2 linked regions of the Yarrowia lipolytica genome follow. The protein of the gene in region 1 interacts with the protein of each later gene in a pairwise test. Links are inferred from orthologs where the notes say so. Each region holds a gene or a part of one and is shown in the gene's direction. Other genes may lie near its edges. The genes, in order: YALI1_D27867g and YALI1_A12302g.

Evidence for each region.
Region 2: the proteins of YALI1_D27867g (region 1) and YALI1_A12302g interact in a two-hybrid assay, tested with the Schizosaccharomyces pombe proteins (2 studies listed by BioGRID). The link is inferred for Yarrowia lipolytica from reciprocal best matches to the Schizosaccharomyces pombe genes ptc1 and rrs1.

Annotation. Positions count from the first base shown.
Region 1 is NC_090773.1:2,778,166-2,788,275, reverse strand, and holds YALI1_D27867g (uncharacterized protein), read left to right. Parts: upstream 1-1,578; coding exon 1,579-2,601; downstream 2,602-10,110. Other genes in the region: YALI1_D27844g (uncharacterized protein), read right to left, coding at 3,333-3,923; YALI1_D27826g (uncharacterized protein), read left to right, coding at 4,980-5,105, 5,676-6,038; YALI1_D27808g (uncharacterized protein), read left to right, coding at 7,520-9,580. UniProt on the Schizosaccharomyces pombe protein: Serine and threonine phosphatase. Has a specialized role in the heat shock response. May be responsible for the dephosphorylation of hsp90.
Region 2 is NC_090770.1:1,225,579-1,235,273, forward strand, and holds YALI1_A12302g (uncharacterized protein), read left to right. Parts: upstream 1-4,691; coding exon 4,692-5,312; downstream 5,313-9,695. Other genes in the region: YALI1_A12284g (uncharacterized protein), read right to left, coding at 2,378-2,875; YALI1_A12294g (uncharacterized protein), read right to left, coding at 3,361-3,874, 3,923-3,984; YALI1_A12356g (uncharacterized protein), read right to left, coding at 8,389-9,695.

The DNA of each region.
Region 1 (10,110 bases):
CCAATACTAAGCGAGGCACAAAAAATGTCTGTCAACTTGTTTATTCTCTTGCGCAGCTGTTTGAGCCAGTAGATGATGATTTTAAATCTGGTGAGAGATAAGGTTGGTCTCGAAACCTTATTTGAACCGATATTTGGAGAGATTTGAGCGGGTTATAATGAGAATATTTGTGTGACAATTGATAGCTATTGTTGTAATGTTGAAGTAATACCCAAGTCTAGTTTGGTCTGTGTCTTTTCCAGACTTCTCCAATGAAGTTTTCTGCAGTCACCACCACCTAAATTTAGTTACATTTTACTTGGGTTTGTAACCAGTACAGTTGAGGGTTGTGAGACTGAGATGAAGCGTCATAGTGCTAAACGGATATATAACACCAATATGAATCCAACGATGGGCCATATAACAGACTAAACGGTATTCTATCTGTTGTATACTCTGTTTTATACTACTCTTGTGGATTATGGAACCCTTACCGTGATTCCACTTTCAACTATGGTAAAGTGATGAACATGGTAGTTATCAAACATGGTATGAACATGGTACAGTACATACTGTAGTTATAAAACATGTAGTGATAAACAGGGTAAAGTGATGAAACAATGTCAAAATTAATATTACTCTGTTGTCCTAGCTCTGATGAACTGAACTATCAACTTCTCATCTTCCTAGCATCTCTGTGAGACGAATTGGATTCCACACGTTTGTAGATAGCAGCGACGTGTGCAGATATCAGCTGCTAAATATAAGAACCAGACACAAGCTCAGTCCAGAGATTTCTTCTAGAATCCTACGCAAGATAATGTATCATTCAATCCCACTTACAAATAATCATCTGATTGGTTCCCCACCCCTCCGTCTCAACTTCCCTTACAGTCAATTGTTGTGTTTCAGATCAACCCCTGTTTCACAGTTGGCTTTAGTTAACTCCGGAAGGCTCCACATAAACTGAAGCCAGACTACAAATCGCACTAGTGCTACAATCACGATTCAAAGAAGCCCAACTTGTTCACCACGGCAAATAAACCCTAACAATTGTTTCCCTGTTCTTTTATAGCCTCCAAATCCACTTGCACTATACACCTTCCTTTACCACCTCCCTCACTAGACTCTACTTAATCTTCAAGTGAAATTTCTTAACTCCGTTGTTGAACCCAAAAACCACCACTTAGTAAGCCACATCTGCCGCCTCACTCAAGGGAAATACACACAAAATGGGGATGCTCACTTTTGTCACCGTCGACCCGGTCTCACTCACCTACAAGCACTCGAGAAGAACAATTCCCATTCGGTCGCCAATGTCCGAAAAACCCTAACCCTACCACAAATAAGCCTTTGCCACTTCCTTGCACTGTGGGGTGAGTGGTGTGTCTCCACATACACGAGATAGAGAGACGTGGACGGAACGTCGAAAAAGCAGTGGTATCTACGACAACAGCAACCAGGCGATCACGTGACCCACGACCGAACGAAAGCACGTGACAGATCAATTTCAGAAGCCGCGTGAAACTCCACGCAAACCAGACGGGAACAGCAGACACACACACACACACACACACACAATAACGCACGATACTAACGATGCTCAAGCTATTTCGACGAAACAGTAAAGATGAAGCCAAAGGCCATCCGATGCTGGCCAACAACAACGGGCTGCCTGTGACCGACTCGCCACTGTCATCGTTTGCTGTGGGCGTTACGGAGGACAAAAACTCGCGGTGTAGACGGACCATGGAGGATTATCATGTGGCTGCACACAACATTTGCGGCACGCCCGATTCGGGGCTGTTTGCAGTATTTGACGGACATGCGGGCAAACAAGCGGCTGAGTACTGCGCAACGGCAGTTGTCAGTGAGGTGGAAAGTCTGATTATGGAGTCTGAGGGATTCAAAAGCGAAGACTCTGCAACCGAAGACCCTGAAGTCGTGCAGGAGGAGGGGCTGGAGCACCAGGACAATGACAAGAGCTCGAAGACTGTGCCAGAGCTGCTTAATCTTGCCTTCATGGCCATTGACCGGTCAATTGAGCAGAAGAACCTGAATTCCGGATGCACAGCAGCAGTGGCTCTGTTGAGATGGGAGGATTCTCGAGGAAAGCCCGTGACGGTGTCTTCTGATCACTCACCCAAGGACTACACTCCCGTGTTTCCCCGTGCTCCATTGTCCGAGTGCAAGCGCAAGCTGTACACTGCCAACGTGGGAGACACTCGGTTGATTTTGTGTCGAGCAGGCAAGGCCCTTAGGCTGAGCTACGATCACAAGGGCACCGATCTCCATGAGTCTAAACGAGTCACCAACAACGGCGGAATGATGATCAGCAATCGGGTCAACGGAATGCTTGCTGTTACCCGTGCTCTGGGAGACACGTATATGAAGCAGTTTATTATTGGTAACCCATACACGACCGAGACGGAAATCATTGCTGATGACGAGTTTCTGATTGTGGCTTGTGACGGACTGTGGGACGTTTGTGATGATCAGAAGGCTTGTGATCTGGTGAGTGGACTAGAAGATCCTGTTGAGGGAAGCCGAATACTGGTGGAGTTTGCTCTGGAGAACTTTAGCACAGATAATTTGACTGTGATGGTGGTGAAATTGCGATAAGTGACAAAGGCAGGGTGACGAAATAGCTGTGTTTGAAGCGCATGTCGGACAGCCTCCTCCGAGCTGTGTTCTTTTGAGGCTATCCTAGCAGTTTTTCTGAAAGCTGCCTGTATTTGTCTAACTGTGACCAACCATCAGGTCAGCTTCATCTGACTTCCTTGTCTGAGGTACAGCTTCAATCATACAACACAAAAGCTTCTGTTTCCATTCTTCAAGTCTTGCCCACTTGTTGATGGTATTCTTCGCACCTTTCATGCTCCTCGTTGGACCGAAAATGCTCCCCTTCATCACCGGAACCTGTATAGCCAATACACTAAGTTATTTGACTGTCATTGGAGTAGATCCTCCATTACTGAAGCAACAAGTACAAGTAATGATCTCTGGCAATTGTAGTCAGAAGCGGGATTATAAGTACAGTTGTATTGTGACTAAATTTCTCCAACAAGTCATCTCCCTGATCGTCTACCATGAACGGATGGATGGATGCTCAAGGTGTAAGACATGTCTCGATGAATGCCGTGGCAGGTGGCTGTCAGTGTATGGAATAGTCGGGTCTTTCCGTATCGACAGTGGCTTCGTTCTCAGTCTACAGTTATGTACCAAGTTACAAGCACTGTACTGTACATACTCGAACAAGTACAGTGCCTGTACGTTTGCCTTCTATAATTCACAATGTATATAAATAAATAAAACCGTCAATAGACGACATCGGATCACCGTCAGAACCTGACTTATTGATCATACGAGACGAAATCAAAGCCGTCCCCAAACAGCCCCTCCATATCGTCGTCTGCGATTCCCGTAGTGTTGCCTGCGTTGTTTCCGCCTCCGTTTTCTCCATCCGCCAGGAGGTTGGACAGCTCGTCGTCCATCATGATTCCGTCCTTGTTTCCGTCCTTGCCATCGCCTAGCATGGCGTTGATATCCACGTCGTTGCTGCCAAAGTCGTCGAATGCGCCGTCTAGGTCAATGGCGTGTGATGCGTCCATGCCATCGATGGTGAACTCCTTGGAGTCTTCCGTTTCCGCAGGCTCCGTCTTCACGGTCACCTCGGGCTCGGACTCGGTCTTGACCTTTTCATTCTGAACCAGCCCTAGCCGGTGCTTTTCGAGCTCCAGAAACTCCAGAGCTGACTCAATGTTGACACTCATGTGGTCCAATGCAGAGTTGAAGCCGGCCACAGACTTGTCCATTTGCGACTGCAGCAGCGTGGGAGGGTTGGGGAGAGGTTTCATGGGCACGCCCTGTTGACTAAGAAACGCCAGAAGGTGGCCAGCCCCCACGAGCACCTGTTTTGTGGTTTGCTGGATTTGTTCTTCCATTAGGAGTCGTTAGTTATGAGGGTCTCACTGTACTTGTGCCAGGGTAGAGACCTGTGAAAAGTTGTGTGGGTCGGAGTGTAGAAAGTTGTGTGGGTCGGAGTGGAGCAAGTTTGTGTCTGCTGGGCCGTTCTGTTTGCGTCAGGTCAAATATATCTTCTTGGAGCGATCGTGAGTCTTGGGTGTAACTGTTTATCATAAACCCTCTGCTCCATTAATGAACGACAATCTAATTTCTGCGTCTGCTTGTCTCTGGGAGTTGGGAGCTTGTTTGTTCGAATCTCGGTTGTGGTGAATATAATCGTCGAATAACAATGACGGTTGGAAGCCCCTGAGGTGTTGCTTGGAAGACTCGTACTCTTCCAAGCCCATTCAAGCCCATCCAAGCCCATCAAAGTGTGTTGTTACCCTCCTCAAAGCTCACATTCCAGCGTTCATGTTGTCATGAATGAGACTCATAGGCTTTGAAGGCGTACATGATCAGATCGATCTTACCTCAACGGCGTATCTTCAATGTGAGAACAAGTATGAGAAATGTCAGCTTGAGCTTGGAAATTCGCACCATGGTACAAGTCGTACTCGTACTGTACTGTACATACTCAAACAAGTATGCCCATATGAGCATGTGTGTTACAAGTATGCACGTACATACTGTACTTCCAGTAGTGACCAGAACAAGTATGTATCAGATGTCTCTACATCCAGTGATTGAGAGATCCGATTCAGAAGAAAATAGTACCATTATATTCCCCATGGCTAGGGGAATAGTTTAGTGTGATAATATCCACTCATTTCTCCCCAAAGGTCCTCCTTACCAGACCCTTCTAGCCAGCTCCGCTCCACATGCTCTGTTGATTTTGGGTTGGGACAGTTGAGAGTCAATTGCACCTAGCACCTAGAACCAGATCGTTGCGCCTGTGTTTAGAGTTTCGGACTTGGGAAGAGGGCTAGGGTTGCTCACGATTCCGCCGCTGATTGGCCACAACCTTTTCTCTCAAAACCCACCACGTTGAAAATACTCCCACTTTCAACACGACACCTTGCACTAACAACAACACAATGTTTTCTGTTGCTCGAACCGCCATCCGGGGTGCTGCCCGACCCGCCGTGCGAATTGCTCGACGAGGTTACGCCGAGACTGCTTCCGTCGACAAGCTTCGACTGACTCTCGCTCTTCCCCACGAGGTGAGTAATGTGGTGATGTGCTAACGACATGGAGGACGGGATGACACAGGCGACTGAGAACGTCCAGCGACACTGAGGAACCGAGACAATTGGTAGAAAATGACGACACAATTGAGGCTGCAATGCGAATTGACTGGGACAGAGGACATATAGTAGCGTGGTTTATTCGGTGTACCGAGTTATACAGACCGGTCAAGTCTGTGTGATGCGGTGGTGGTGGGAGGGAAGGAACGTGACTTGGCATGGCATGGCGTGGCGTGGCGCGTGGACTCTGCATGGTGGTGGAATTGGGTCGCAGGCAGCCGACTGGTCAATTGACCTTGTTTGTGCTCATGATCCACGCCACTGCCGGAAGCACAAGGAAACGCGGGAGACATCACCTCACATCACGACACCGTACCAACCACCCAATGTACAATGAACCACTCGCGAATTGAAGCTCCTCAAATGTTGTGATACCCAGCATTCCCTTTTGGCTCTGTTGCTGTCGACCCCAGGCGCCAGTATGTTCCAGTCGCGATGTCCGATCACACAAGGTCACAAAACTGGACGAACCTCATACTAACTCAGTCCATCTACAACCAGAAGGAGGTGACCCAGGTCAACATCCCTTCCACCGCTGGTGAGCTCGGTATTCTGGCTAACCACGTTCCCACCATCCAGCAGCTCAAGCCTGGTGTTGTCGAGGTCATTGAGACTAACGGTGAGACCAAGTCTTACTTCATCTCCGGTGGTTTCGCTACCGTTCAGCCCGACTCCGAGCTGTCCGTCAACTCCATTGAGGCTTTCCAGGCTGAGGACTTCTCCCCCGAGGCCATCAAGTCTCTGACCGCCGAGGCCCAGAAGAACGCCCAGTCTGCTGACGAGGCTGTTGCTGCTGAGGCCGAGATTGAGCTCGAGGTTCTTGAGGCTCTTGCCCACTTTGCCAAATAAGTTATGACATGATGAATCTGTAGACATAAAAGCGGCAACTTCCGTAACGTGTAATGACACCTGACGACTGTTTTTCGATTGAGACTGTATGGGGAGCTGTAGAGTGGTAGCATGGGTGTTCTAATAAATTGGAAAACGCCGCTGTAACCGGCTCTCTCAGGGCTATTTGTATCTCACTCCTCAACATGTCCGTTTTTATCGGCTCATCGTCGGCAACTGGGAGGTAAATTTGATTAACTTTTGGTCAGTCGGAAGGGAAATGTAAGGTGGTTGAGAAGGGGTTACAAAGTCGTGGAAACGTCGTGGAAAAGAGCCATGGTTTCATATATACCGTGGTATGACTGTCATGATCTCGTATATTAATTTTCATCTTACCACGACAAGTAATGGGTCGGTTGTGATCTGCTTTTTTTGAACCTAAACAAACTGCTCAACTAGTTTCCCTTTAGTACAAGTACAAGTACTTGCATTTGACGTCTACTTATGCATCTTGTTTGGCGTGTGTATATGATCCGAATCTGACAGCAGTGATTTTTGACGGGGAAAAGCAATCGATAACATGGCACCAAGAACAATAACTCTGGCTTCCCTTCTTTTCCCCCATTCTAATCGGTTCTATGACCGCGGAACGCCCAACACTGCCAGTTGACAACGCTATGAGCTGAAAACTCACGAGAGCTGAATCAGGTATTGTGCACTACTTGTGCTTTGGTATTATAGCACTAATGGACGACAGAATGACGCAATAGTTACCCGACTACAGCCCCAAGGTGGACATGGCTTGCCACTATGCCAGCCTCCATTGTACTCTCCACCATACTAAACAATGATGTATGGGTCTACAAGTGCAAGGGTGGGAGAGTGGAAGCTCTAATATGGAGCAAAAGGACCAAGTAGGAATCATATGAAGCGTCTTAACAATGCACATGGATCCTTTTTAGTCCTTTTGCTAATTCTGGTGTTGTTTTGGGGTCGTTTCCGCACTCGTAACACATTCAGGGGTCTCGTCTCTAGATGATATATGGATTGGCTAAAATTTTGCACAGCTCACAAACTTCTCTCCACTCGTGTTTATTCCCTATCTCCATAAATCCTTTCTTTTTGCCTATACTCTCTATTCCTTACATAGATTAGTGAGCAGGAGAGAATGTTTGTCCGACGCCAATGATGATGTTGGAGACGTAGAGTAACCGTCAAAAGACCATAGCGGTGAGTAGAGAAGACCAACAGTTCAGTAGACAAAAAAACCGCCCTTGAATTGTCACTTTTGGCGCTTCCTGCCCACATTGTCCCCCACAATTTCCCCCCCTACTTACCTCTTCCAAGTTGACATCCCCAGAACAGCATAAACTGCAGTTTGGTCGAGTAGTCCAAAATTTATGGTCGGTACTGGTGAGGGAGAGTCCTAACTGTCAAGATGGTACATAAACCCGAGTGTTTTCCGAGTGGAGGATTCCCAAAATTTCCCTTTCGAGTCTACCATGTCTTCCGTCTCTTCCGAATGCCAGGGCCTGTCCTCCATTTCCGAAGCCTCTTTTTCCGAGGCCTCTTCCTCCAAGCCCGTCTATGTCTCCACCGCTTGCGGTTCTGACGATCCCATTACTGCCGACGACCTCTTTGGCGAGCCCCAGTCTGTCCCGATCTCTCCAAGTGAGTTGTTTATGAGCAGCTCTTCTAACCAAAGTCCTAACAACGACTTTGAAGAAGAGGCACCCAAAAGCTCCACCTCTCGATATGCTCTCCCAGACGAGTCTCCTAATGGCTATCAGACCCAGTCGACCTTCAACTCGTTTGTGAACCTGTTTCGCCTCAAGAAGGATCCGCCGACAACTCTGCCACTGGCGTCTCTGACAAGTACGAGGGGTCATAGGATGGACACTCCAAGTCCAACGCCTCCAGAGGTAGCCAGACTGAGAGCCGTGCCCCACTCATCGACTTACTCGTCTGAGTCGTCGCTCAACTCATCAACAACCCGGATCTCATCCTCCAGGTCCTCCGATGACGCCTCCACAGTCGATGGAAAGACCACACGCGCTACCCAGACGGACCAGATCTACGCGGGAGACTCGGGAATCATTCTCTCGACTTCCATAACATCTTCCCAGAGCTCTCAAGAACACTTTCGAGAACGATGTCGACGGTCTAACTGTGTCACATATATTGTCCAGTGGGACACAGAGAACGACCCCAGGTACCCATTCAACTGGCCCAACTACAAAAAGTACCTGGTTGTTGCTTCCCAGGCCCTATCTGCTATTGGCCCGCAAATGTGCAGCTCCATGTACGGACCAGCCGTTGCAAAGATCGAAGAGATGTTTGGAGTCGGTAAAGATGTCGCCATGCTCAGTACCACCGTCTACATGATGGGTATTGCTGTTGGGCCCATGTTCTGCGCGCCCATGACCGAGTCATTTGGCCGGAAGATTGGCGTCTTCTGGCCCTTCTTCGTCTCGCTCATCTTCACCTTTCTGACCGTCTCCGTCACCTCCTTCCCCACCTTTATGGTACTGCGATTCCTCTCTGGAGCTCTGTCTTCGCCTCCCATCCTGTCGTCCGGAGGAGCTCTCAAGGATATGTTCAAGCCCGAGCGACGGCCGTACGTGTTGCTTCTGTACGCCATTATTGTCGCTGGCGGCCCAGCCATGGGTCCCATTCTCGGCTCTCAGGTCATCAAGTGGACCGGCGACTTCAGACACTTGTCGCTCGTGGCCGGTATCTACCAACTCATCATTTGCACCTCCAACCTCATCTTCATGCCCGAGACTTACGCCCCTGTGATTCTGCAAAAGATTGTGCGGAACTTCAGTCTGGATGCCGGCGGACTGAGAAACCTGGTGACAGAACGAGACCTCGGAGGCCATGCCCGTGGTTTCTCAGTCAAGAACCTGTTGAGACCCTACCAAATCATGCTCACCCCGGTCATGCTGCCGCTGCAGATGTACGCCGCCATGATGTTCGGACTCATGTACATGGCCATCTCGCTGGTGCCCAACGCAGTCGTCAAGGAACACAACTGGACCCGAGACCGAGCGGCCTGGATCAACCTCAACTTCATTGCCGGCCTCATATGCGCCTCTGGAGGTATCGTCTGGTCAATCTGGTACTTCAACCGGATGCTCAAGAAGCACGGAGGAAGCAATAAGGAGCCCGAAAAGCGGCTCCTGATCATGCTGCCGGGGTCCCTGTTCCCTCCTATTGGATGCTTTCTGTGTTACTTCTTCTTTGACAAGACCTGGGCAATTTCGGTCGTGCTGCTTCTGTTCCTCGGTATCGGATTCTTCACCATTTTCCAGTCCACCCTCAACTACGTTGTTGACATCCACTCGGAGTACTCGGCCTCAGCTGTGTCTGCTCTGACGTTTCTGCGGTCCATTTTCGCCGGCGTCTTGCCATTTATCGGCATGGCGGCCATCGAGCGGGTCTCTTTTGCCAAGCTGTGTTTCATTCTGGGCTTCATCACGACCGCAATGTGCGCTGTGCCGTGGTTCATTTTCAAATGGGGGCCTGGCCTGCGAGCGAGATCTGCTTTTGTTGACGTTTAGTGTCCAGCTAAGTAGATGTCAAGTGTAAGACGAAGACTGGTCAGAAAGAGACAGACGTTCTAACAAAACCCAACAAAAAACAACAAACATTAATCAACTGTGAAAATCCGCATAGAAACCAGCATAATCAACATAAAACATATAGCCCCAAATCAAATCAAATAGAATACTACTAGTAATACACTGTGAATTGTATTCTGGCTTGTAATATTACAAGAGAGAATAAATATACACCACTACGGTGTATATCAGTGAAGCAACATGTCTGAATAACTACGAGTAGTAGCACTGGTGGCTTGCATGGTGCTTGGATATCTAGATGGCCCTACGACACCAATTGTGCTTCCAGAGGACCGAAACTCCGGAAATCAATTGCAAAGAATCCTATAAACATTGTGCAAAAATCTGATGAAAAAAAAGTTCCTCTAAGCTGGTCGGTCCTCATCCCTCTTTCTCACCCCACGCCATCTGCATGCAGAGTAAATAGTGCAGAACCTCCGAAACACATCACACCATTCATCTCGCTCAAT
Region 2 (9,695 bases), on another chromosome or scaffold:
GTAGTACGGTAAAGAGTGAGTGGGAGTAGGAGTGCGATTCGATTTGACATATGAGTGTACAATAGGAATGTACGATAGGGGCGTAGATACAAGTACAATGCGAGTATCTGTATGATATGAGTGTCTGTACGATACAAGTGCTGTATTGTACTGGGTCGTACATACTGTATCGTACTTGGTTGCTTGTAGCATGATCATTCAGTATCTACAAGTATAAGTACTTGGCTTACTCTCATACTTATACTAGGATACATCTTACACGACACTTTTTCTTCACTCTGTTTTTGCCGGTTCCTTCCTCCAGACACTCCAACAATGCCTCTGCGGATCTCGTGATCCCGTGATTGGTTACTCGTCCAGAATTCGATGTCCTTTTAGCACCGGGTGGATTGGTGCCGGGCTGGCTTGGTTCTCGGCTCAACTCGGCTCAAGTTGGTTGTCGGTCTCGACTTGGTTCGACTTAGTTCGACTTGGTACAACTCGGTTCGTGACTGTTCATTAAACGTGGCATGTTGTTGGAAGAAACGAACAGACCTGGGGCCGATATGGCATTACTGTGAAGAGTACAGTTGTGAAGAAGTCGTGCGACAGTTTCGAGTCATGTCTGACTGCTGCAACTTCCACGCACATTTGGAGCGTGGCATTCGTTTCTTGTCGTGTCTCGGGATTGACGCTTTTGTCATTGTTCGACCTTTTTCTCCTCCGGATCGTCCGCTAGATCGTTGGCAAGAGTTCGCCCTCTGGCACTTTCGACTCCATCGTCGGGGTGCCAGACTGGTGATGGCTGGATGATCCAGGACTGGGGGCAGCGGTTGAGTTGCTAAGAAACTGGACTGAACCAGAGTGTGGACCAGAAATGATACTGGAGCCGACTAGAGACTGGACACGAAAGGATACGAGATGGATCCGACTGTCGACTCCGACACCCACGAAAGCGAGATATCAGAGGCATGTTCCCACTGACCGCTGCTAAAGACTTGGTTGTCCCCCACTCATGAGTAACTGGAGATGATGAACGCACCACCCCCACCGAATCAAACAAGGTCCGAGAGTGAAACGGAAAGCTGCTCACTGACTGGAGGGACGGTTATAGGGGTCCTCATACGCTTCTTCTGCCATGATTACGAGGTCTCCACGATGATATCGTCAACCTCGTAAGATGAGAAACTTCGACTAGTGGATGACTGTATGGAGATTTCCCCTGTGATCAAACTGTTCCAATAGCCAGGAACCTCTCGAGTTTACCCTACAAGTCCTGCTTCCACTGTCATCGATGCACACCAAAGGATACAAAGGTGTCTGAAGCTCCTGTCAAATGTCAAATGAGATCGTGGGGTCTTGGGTCAGTGTCGTTTGGCAAAGTCCACCTTCAAGTACGTGTGGACCAAGAGACTTTGTTCAGAGAGCATCTAGACCAAATAATACCCTTCCAGAGACAACTTGATCCCCTCAACTTTCGGACTGTCGTATCCGAGGGACAAGGACAAGTCCGGTGCGAGCTGAAAGTCGACCAAGACTTCGCTTAGCGTCTGGAGATAATTATCATTGACACAAACCTGGACCTCGCATCCAACAAACATTGTGAGAACTGCGGGTGAAGTTCTTGCTTCTAGGTAAGTTACTCTTTTCACAACATTTCTTCGAAATCACAGCTGCCAGCAATTCCAGCTTTAACTGTCTGCAAAATGACCAAAGCTATACGATCAAGCGCCATGTCTGCCTTCTCTCCTGCTTGATCTTGTCTTTCTGCGACTACAGTACAACTACTACACACTCTTGTCGTACTCGGCAGACTCTCGTTGAAGAGTAACAGCACCTTAGAGCTTCCCCCTCTCTACAGATGCTCGCACTAGAACAGTGAGAGGTCAAAAGTTGATGAACCATTAGACCTGCTTCAACGGAGATTGACAAGAAGACGAAAGGATTTAGAACACTTGTCCATGACTGAATCTCCAACACCCTATACTCTACAATTAGGGAGAGATAACTCATCCTGAAGAGATGTCCGACCAAATATGGATACGGTCCTAGGAACATGTCTCAGGATCAGTATAATGGACGAAGGAGAATGGGCTTGAAGAAGGCGAACTGGTCAAGTCGGAACTTGCACTGTGTACTTGGTGGCAGAGACTTAGTTGGGGGTAGAGCTTGGTTACTTGTTGGTGGAGATTGGGTACGGTACAGTAGGTACTTGGTAGTAGAACTTGGGTGCTTGTTGGTAGACTGGATACTTGGTTGAACTAAAGCACCAAGAGTGCCAAAAGAGTGCTGAAACGCGAACGCCATACCGCACCTCGGCACCAACCCACCACCTACAGTTCACGGATAAAAATACACATACATCATTATGGATACATCAATTGGCAGGTCCCGGCATCTACTGCAGGTAAAGATGTCGCTTGGCAGCCATCTCAACGGCAGCAGCTCCCCAGTCCTCTCCGTGGTTGTGTCCATCAGGAGTGAGACCAGCTCGCTGAAGAGCCTGCTCCTCGGTCAGACAGGTGAGCACGCCGAAAATGACGGGGGTCTTGGTGGCGATCTGGGATTGCATGAGGCCCTGGGAAACGGCGTCGGCAATGTACTCAAAGTGCATGGTGGAGCCCTTGATGAGCACGCCGATGGAGATGACAGCGTCGTACTTGTGCGAGTCTGCCATCAGGTGGGTGATGTAGGGCAGCTCGTACGAGCCGGGCACAGACTCGATGAAAATGTTCTCTCGCTTGACCTTGAAGCCGCACAGAGAAGAGATGGTTCCGTCGAGCAGAGCCTTGATCACCTGCTCGTTCCATCGCGCGTGCACAATGGCGATCTTGAAGTCGGAGCCGTCGTAAATGGCGTCAGAAGCGCCAACACCCTTAATAGTACAGTCGGTCATTTTCAGTTGGTACAAAGTGCTGTGTGTGAGTGTGTGTTTTGGGGGTGGTGATGATGATACAGGGAGATCTGGGCCAACCCAATTGTAACCGCGTCTGCTGCATGACTGACAAATACCCGGGAGTTTGATTAGTCATCCAAAACGGCCCCGAAAACGGCCATTTTTCCGCCCAACCCTGTGTTTGGGCTCCAATGGCCAATAAACGAGTCGGATTTTTCGGTCTTTCCTCTCTCACACGCTCAGAACCACGATTATCGCTATCGACTGTTTTTTTCAGCTCCCATTTTTGTCTCAGGGTTAGGTTCGAGACATTCGTTTAGCCTCGGTCCTATGATCATCAGACTCAATTACAGTAATCTCAGAGATAAGAAAGAGCAACTGAGAGCGTGCTAGCTGTTGTCGCGCGCCGCTCAGGCTCCAAATGGCTGAGTAAGCCATCTCAGCCGTTTTCTCGGACCATTCCACCCGGCCTTACCCGCGAAACTTCATGCTCCAACATGGAACACTCTTGGCAGATTGTCCCGGCCTCCACCAAACACGACAAATGTACGCCCAGCCTCGCCGGACATTGTCATGAAACTCAATCCAACAATGCCATAGTTCGGTATCTTCCCGTGGCCTTCTTTCTGTGGCGATGGCTGACTGGCGGCAGCAAGTCGGAGACGAGACCTGCGCATACGATACCGTACAGCATGCACCAGACTCTGTACGGTGCAATACCGGCTCTGTACGGTGCAATACCGGCTCTGTACGGTGCAATACGGCTTTGTATGTACGGTTTTGAAGAGACTGAAACAGCGCCGGTTCAGGGACTCTGGGTACAATGAGACATGTTGCAGTGTTTGGGGTTTGAAACGAGTTGCGACATAGTACGAGTACAAGTACAAGTGCACATTTGCTCCAAGTTCTTGTACAAGTACAAACTTGTAGGACGTGAATGTCGATCTAACTGCGGGAAACGTATCGTGGCAACGGCTCAGCTTGTATAGTGTATGATACCTGGATGTACCGGTACAACTATGTACTGACCAGACTGTTCATCTTCACCACAGCAAAATGAGATTGCACACATCCTTCAGAATGAAACAATCAGTTGACATCTCTGGCATTCACATTCAAAAGCGCATATATGGACACCAGCTCGGAGTCAGGTCACGTGACCAGCAACCTTGTAGAGCCGTTCTGTTATTATACAAAAAAATTAAAAAATTAAAAATTAAAAAAATTAAAAAAAATGCGAGGTGAAATATTCGGGGGAAATAAAGTTTTTGTCAGGTGAAATTCAGAAAAACGAATCAACTGAGCTCACCGGTTCGTACGTCGGTTGAGAGTGTTGCTAACGACTCTGGAAGTCACAGATGACTGTTTTTCGAAGTGATCATCATATCATCGTATCAACTTTGGCACATGTTGGATCCGTTCGGGGAACCTCATCTGGCAACCTTATTTTCAATATATCTCCGTTATCAATGGGGAGTAGAGATATTGTAAATCTAACAACATTTTGGTATTTGCCAGGAGGTTAGGATTATTTTGATACCAATTTTGGACCAAATCGTCAGACCGTTGTATATCCAGCGCCATTTCTACCGTAATGTCGTATGTAAAACACGTCCCTAACCCCCGACGTTGAATTACCTTGAAAAACCTGACCCAACAGGCTGATTTGCATATCTACTACAGTAGCTGGACGCCACCAGCTCCGTGGTCCTGCTGACTAATCAAAAAGCCAAAACCCACATCAACCTTATCAAAATATTTTTTTCAGGCTGCAGGAAAATCTCGACTATTACGCACAAGATACACAACAACAACCATGAGCGAAATCAAGACAGTGACCGTGGAGAAGCCCGTGCCCGTGACGTACGATCTGGGCAACCTTGCAGTATTCGACACAAATCCCGTGGAGGTGGATCTAAACGACCTGAACGTGGACGGCCAGGCCCGAGAGGAGGCTCTCCAAGCCGTGTCTCGAGATAATGCCCAGCTGCTCATCAACCAGCTTCTGTCACAACCCATCAAGAACACCACGGACTCTAATTCGTCCAGCGGCAACCAGAACTCCACCATGTCTCTGATCATGCTGCCACAGCCGTCCACACGTCTCCCTCGAGAGAAGCCCATTCCCAAGCCCAAGGCCATGACCAAGTGGCAAGAGTTTGCTCTCAAGAAGGGCATCAAGTCCAAGGCCCGGGATGGCAAGCTTGTGTACGACGAGGCCACCGGCAAGTGGGTGCCCAAGTGGGGTTTCAACGGAAAGAACAAGGAGCTCGACCAGCAGTGGTGTGTTGAGGTGGACGATGGTAAGGGATCCAAGAAGAACCAGGAGGACGTTATGCTCGATCCTCGAGCTCTGGACCGAGCTTCTCGAAAGAAGCTGGTCAAGAAGAACCAGAAGCAGCATGAGCGAAACCTCAAGCGGGGCGTTTCGAAATAGGTGGAAAAATAGACTAATTATATTTTGATCATTAAGCGGGTAGGCGATAGCAGTTGTTTGGTGGATGTAACGTACTTGTACAAGTTCAATGCGGTAGTTATGACTGATCTAGCGGTGTATGTTGTCGTAGTTCAACCTCTGTGACTGAGGTTAGTTCTATCGAGTGTAGTTGACTGGGACTGACGACTGGAGATGTTGCTAATGCTTGAACGTTGACTGCGAGTGCGAGTACAGTACGGATACTTTGCACAATAGATGTATAGCCCACTCGAGTCGATTGTAGCAGTCATCTGTCTCGTAAACTGCTGGAGACCATCCAAACATGCATCTCTCAATCCAGAAGTAACAGAATAGCACGAACACGAACAGTACGAACAGTACCGATACTGGAAATCGTGTTTGTTGGTAACGTCTGGGATTGACACTCCGATCAAACGCCGTTATCCGGTAGTTCAAATCACTTGGTCGGCGTTCTGTGCAAAACTGCTTGTGCTGTACAACATACTTATCATCTGATAGTTCCACACAGTGGAAGGGGTGAATGTGGATTCTGACAAGACCATTCACATGATTGTTTTTCCATAGAATAGTTATCTTTCATCTCCGAAGACATGTCCCATGGAGAATGGTAGGCAGAGTTCTGGGTGAGAGAGAAAGACATCCAGATCTACCGTAATTCTTTAAATGTTGAGATCATTTTAATTAATAGGTTTTACTCTGGAAATAAATCTTTATCCTGTCAATTTTCAGCCCTTTTCTTCGTTTTTTCTCCGAATTTCCTCACTTTTCCCATTTATTCCAATTTCCCAACCTGATCATATATTTTTTCCAATCTCCACCAATTTTTTGATCCAATTTTTAGTCCACAATGACCCAATAATGGCCTAACAATGGCCTAAAAAGGACCCCCGACCCAATAATGACCCAATAATGACCCTAAAAATGACCCTAAAAATGACCTATAAAAATGACCTAAAAATGACCCAATAATCTAACTGTACCTCCCAATAGTGGATGTACTGTAAAGCAGTGCACAAGCGACAACAAAACACCTAATGACCACACAAAACAGGCTAGAATCGCGACTAGAGGACCGTTTTCCGTCAAATTTCGAGCACAGAACCAACCGAGTATTTCCAACGCCACCAAAAACCAACATGTCCTAAAATATTACGAAAAACAATGGCGGAAATCATTGCTGATACCCAGACGAACCCCGCATATTTTTTTATTTTTTTTCTGCAATATACTTCATATTAAATTATAACTTTGCTGTTGAAAGGAATAAACCTTTGAAATGAATGTAACGCTTACACGAATATTACTAATTAAACACGTTTTAGTGTCATGGTTCCAACTTGGCCACGTAACTATTTCCAGTAAAAAAATCATAAAAAAACCTGTCGTTCAGTTCCGTGTTTGTATGTTGGTCCACATAGCTTCGCGTGTTTGTTCGTTCATCGGGAAAACGCCACTCCAGTCTCCAGTTCTCTAATCTCAATCCTTCCATTGCCCTCTTCGTTTGCATTGCCTTTGAAAACGTCTCCTTGTGGTTCTTCTTCGTCATTGGTTTGGTTCTGCGTCCCCTGTGGTGTGACTACGCGCCCTGCTACTGCTCTTTTCTTCGGGTGGCCTCGGCCGCCTTTTACGCTTGCTACTTCTTATTGCCACCCTAACGATTAACCTACAAGTGCAGTATCACTGACTATCATTACCAGGGCTTTTACTGTTCACACCCACACTACAGTTCAGGTTATCCCCTCATATAGCTATACCCTGAGTACCGGAGGGGATCTCTCCATCTTCCAGATCCCATAAGCCAATTCCCGCAGATATTTGCGTGTCTTGGCATATATTGGAATGTTTTAGTTTGGGATGTGTAAATAAATACAATAATAGCCTTTTCGAGCTTCAATGGTAGATGTATAATTGAGGAGATTGGACGCTGCAAATGGACGGAAAAAGGAAATTTCGAGCTACAAATAACGCTGAAACTGGTTATGTAAGCTATATGCGTCGTTTGTCTGTCATATTCCTGTCTCAATGATCTGTTTTCACGACGTTATCGTCCTGCCCCCATTTTAATACCCAAACAAAGACCCGAACCCAATACTTTATTCACCACAGCCTTTCGAATATAAATAGGCGTCCAGTCCCAGTTTTTTGGCGGCACCTTTGACCACGCGTGTCATCGTGTCCCTTGGGGGCAACCCCTCCATTGAACCCTGCGAAAGCAGTTTTTTTTTTTTTGATTCGCATCCGAAATCAAACAGACCGGCTCCGGCCAACCCCAGAAACGGCTCGGCCAACCCCAGAAACGGCTCCGGGCCAACCCCAGAAAACGGCTCCGGCCAACCCCAGAAACGGCTCCGGCCACGAACCCCAAGAAACGGCTCCGGCCACGAACCCCCAAAAAACGGCTCCGGCCAACGAACCCCAAAAACGGCTCCGGCCATGAACCCCAAAAAACGGCTCCGGCCACAAACCGATAGTCATTCAGTTGATCTGTCAAAACGATAGGGTGTGAGCGCTACCTCAAAAGCCAAAAATCGCTACCCAAGTGCAAGTTAAGATGTGGTTTGATAGCTCGGGTGATTAAGTCTTCGATCAGGTTTTCTAGGTGTCCCTGTTAAAACCCCTAGGATGATTTTTAGTTGTCAAACGTCTTAAAATGCGGCTGTCCTGATGGAGACTACGTGATTATGACTAGCGTCGAAACACTTACCATCGAGAGAAGATGGTGGTGTAGACAGCCCCTAGTCTTACATAGTAATATATTGTACGAGTACCAGTTCCAAAGTACAAGTAGTTCACTCGGTGTTGTTCTGAAATTGTATAATTCAGAGTCGTGCAGACAAGTGCATCATTGCATAACTAAGAAGTCGAACTGTTTCTACACTCCATGGGTTTTGCCTTGAACTCGCAATATCAGATATCCGCCCTTTCACATGGTCTCGTTGATATGGCTCCGTTGACCCGTATAATATCCAATACAATCGTGTTTCACATCATGTACAGTACATACCCCTATTATACAACGAATGACAATAAATAAATAAATAAAAAGGTCTAAGGACTATGCAGTCGCCTCCTCGGGCTCCTTGCCCTTATCTTGAGGAATGGCAGGAAGAGGAGCCTTTTTGTACTCGCGAAGAACAGCAGTAGTGACGGTTCCATTGAGCATCACCGCCTGACCAACAATAGCAACATCGCCGTCAATGTTGATGGTCTCAGCAATAGGAGACTTGGGCTCGATCTGGCTCTCGGTGGTGCTGGTGGAGACCACAGAAGTGCATTTTCGCCGACGCGAGTGATCCGAATGGTCCTCCGCATCAGTATGCTCCATGTCAGTGTTCTCCGAGAACTCAAACGAAGATCTGGGCGGAGACGCAGAAGTGGCAGAATCATCTTCCACGTCACTGTCCACATCTCCAATGCCTCCTCCGCAGTACATGATACCATTGATCTGGTTTTCAAGAGACTCGTCAGAAATGTTGTCGTGAGAGTACATTCGAGAAGGAAAGAGGCCAGCGGGATAGCTGGATGAGGTAGGAGACACGGCCTCTTGACGGCGGACCTCGATAGCCTCGTATGTGTAGACGCCGTTACCCTCCATGCCATACCAAAGTTCAGGGGTATGTTTGACCAGAGTTTCAAGCACAGACGATCTAATTCTAAGAGAGGGGGCCAAAATGCGGGCTAGCGTCGACAGCGTCATTTTGTTGGTCTCGTGGTGGTTGGACACGTCCTGGATGTGTGTACACAGAGTCCTCAGTACAACAATGGACTGTTTGGGCAGCTTTCCGAGCGCAGTCTTGACCACAGATACCAGCACCTTGGGCTGTGTCTCCTGGTAGGGGTTGGGGAAGAGGTCGTCAGGCAGTTGTCGTAGAAAGTTCTTGAGAAACGAGGTTAGAGTGTGAACATCGTAGTCGCCCAAGTCACATAGGGGCCCGTTGTCGGTGAAGCATCTTCGGAGCTGTTCGATTTTCTGGGCGCTGGCATTCAGCTTGTAGACCCCGATCTCGGTGAGATTGTTGTTGATCTCGCGAATGCATCGAAACAGCACCAGAGGAAGGTACTCCAGGTCTCGGGTGGCGCAGATCTGGTGGACAATCTTCTTTTCCTCCACGGTTTTGCAGCCGTAGCCGTACTGGCGTCTGTAGGAGCTGTCGAGGCTGCTCAGCTTGACCAAGGACAGGCCCGTGTAGTAGTAGTTGGGGTTTGAGGGGGCGACTGAGCATCTTGAGGATCTGGACGATCGGGTCGAGGTGGGTCTGAGTGAGTGGAGGGGCAGTTCTGAGTGTGTTGACAGTCTGGAGGAAGCTGAAGTTTGGGGGCGAGACGAGGAGGTGGAGGGTCGTCTGGAGGAAGCAATGGAGG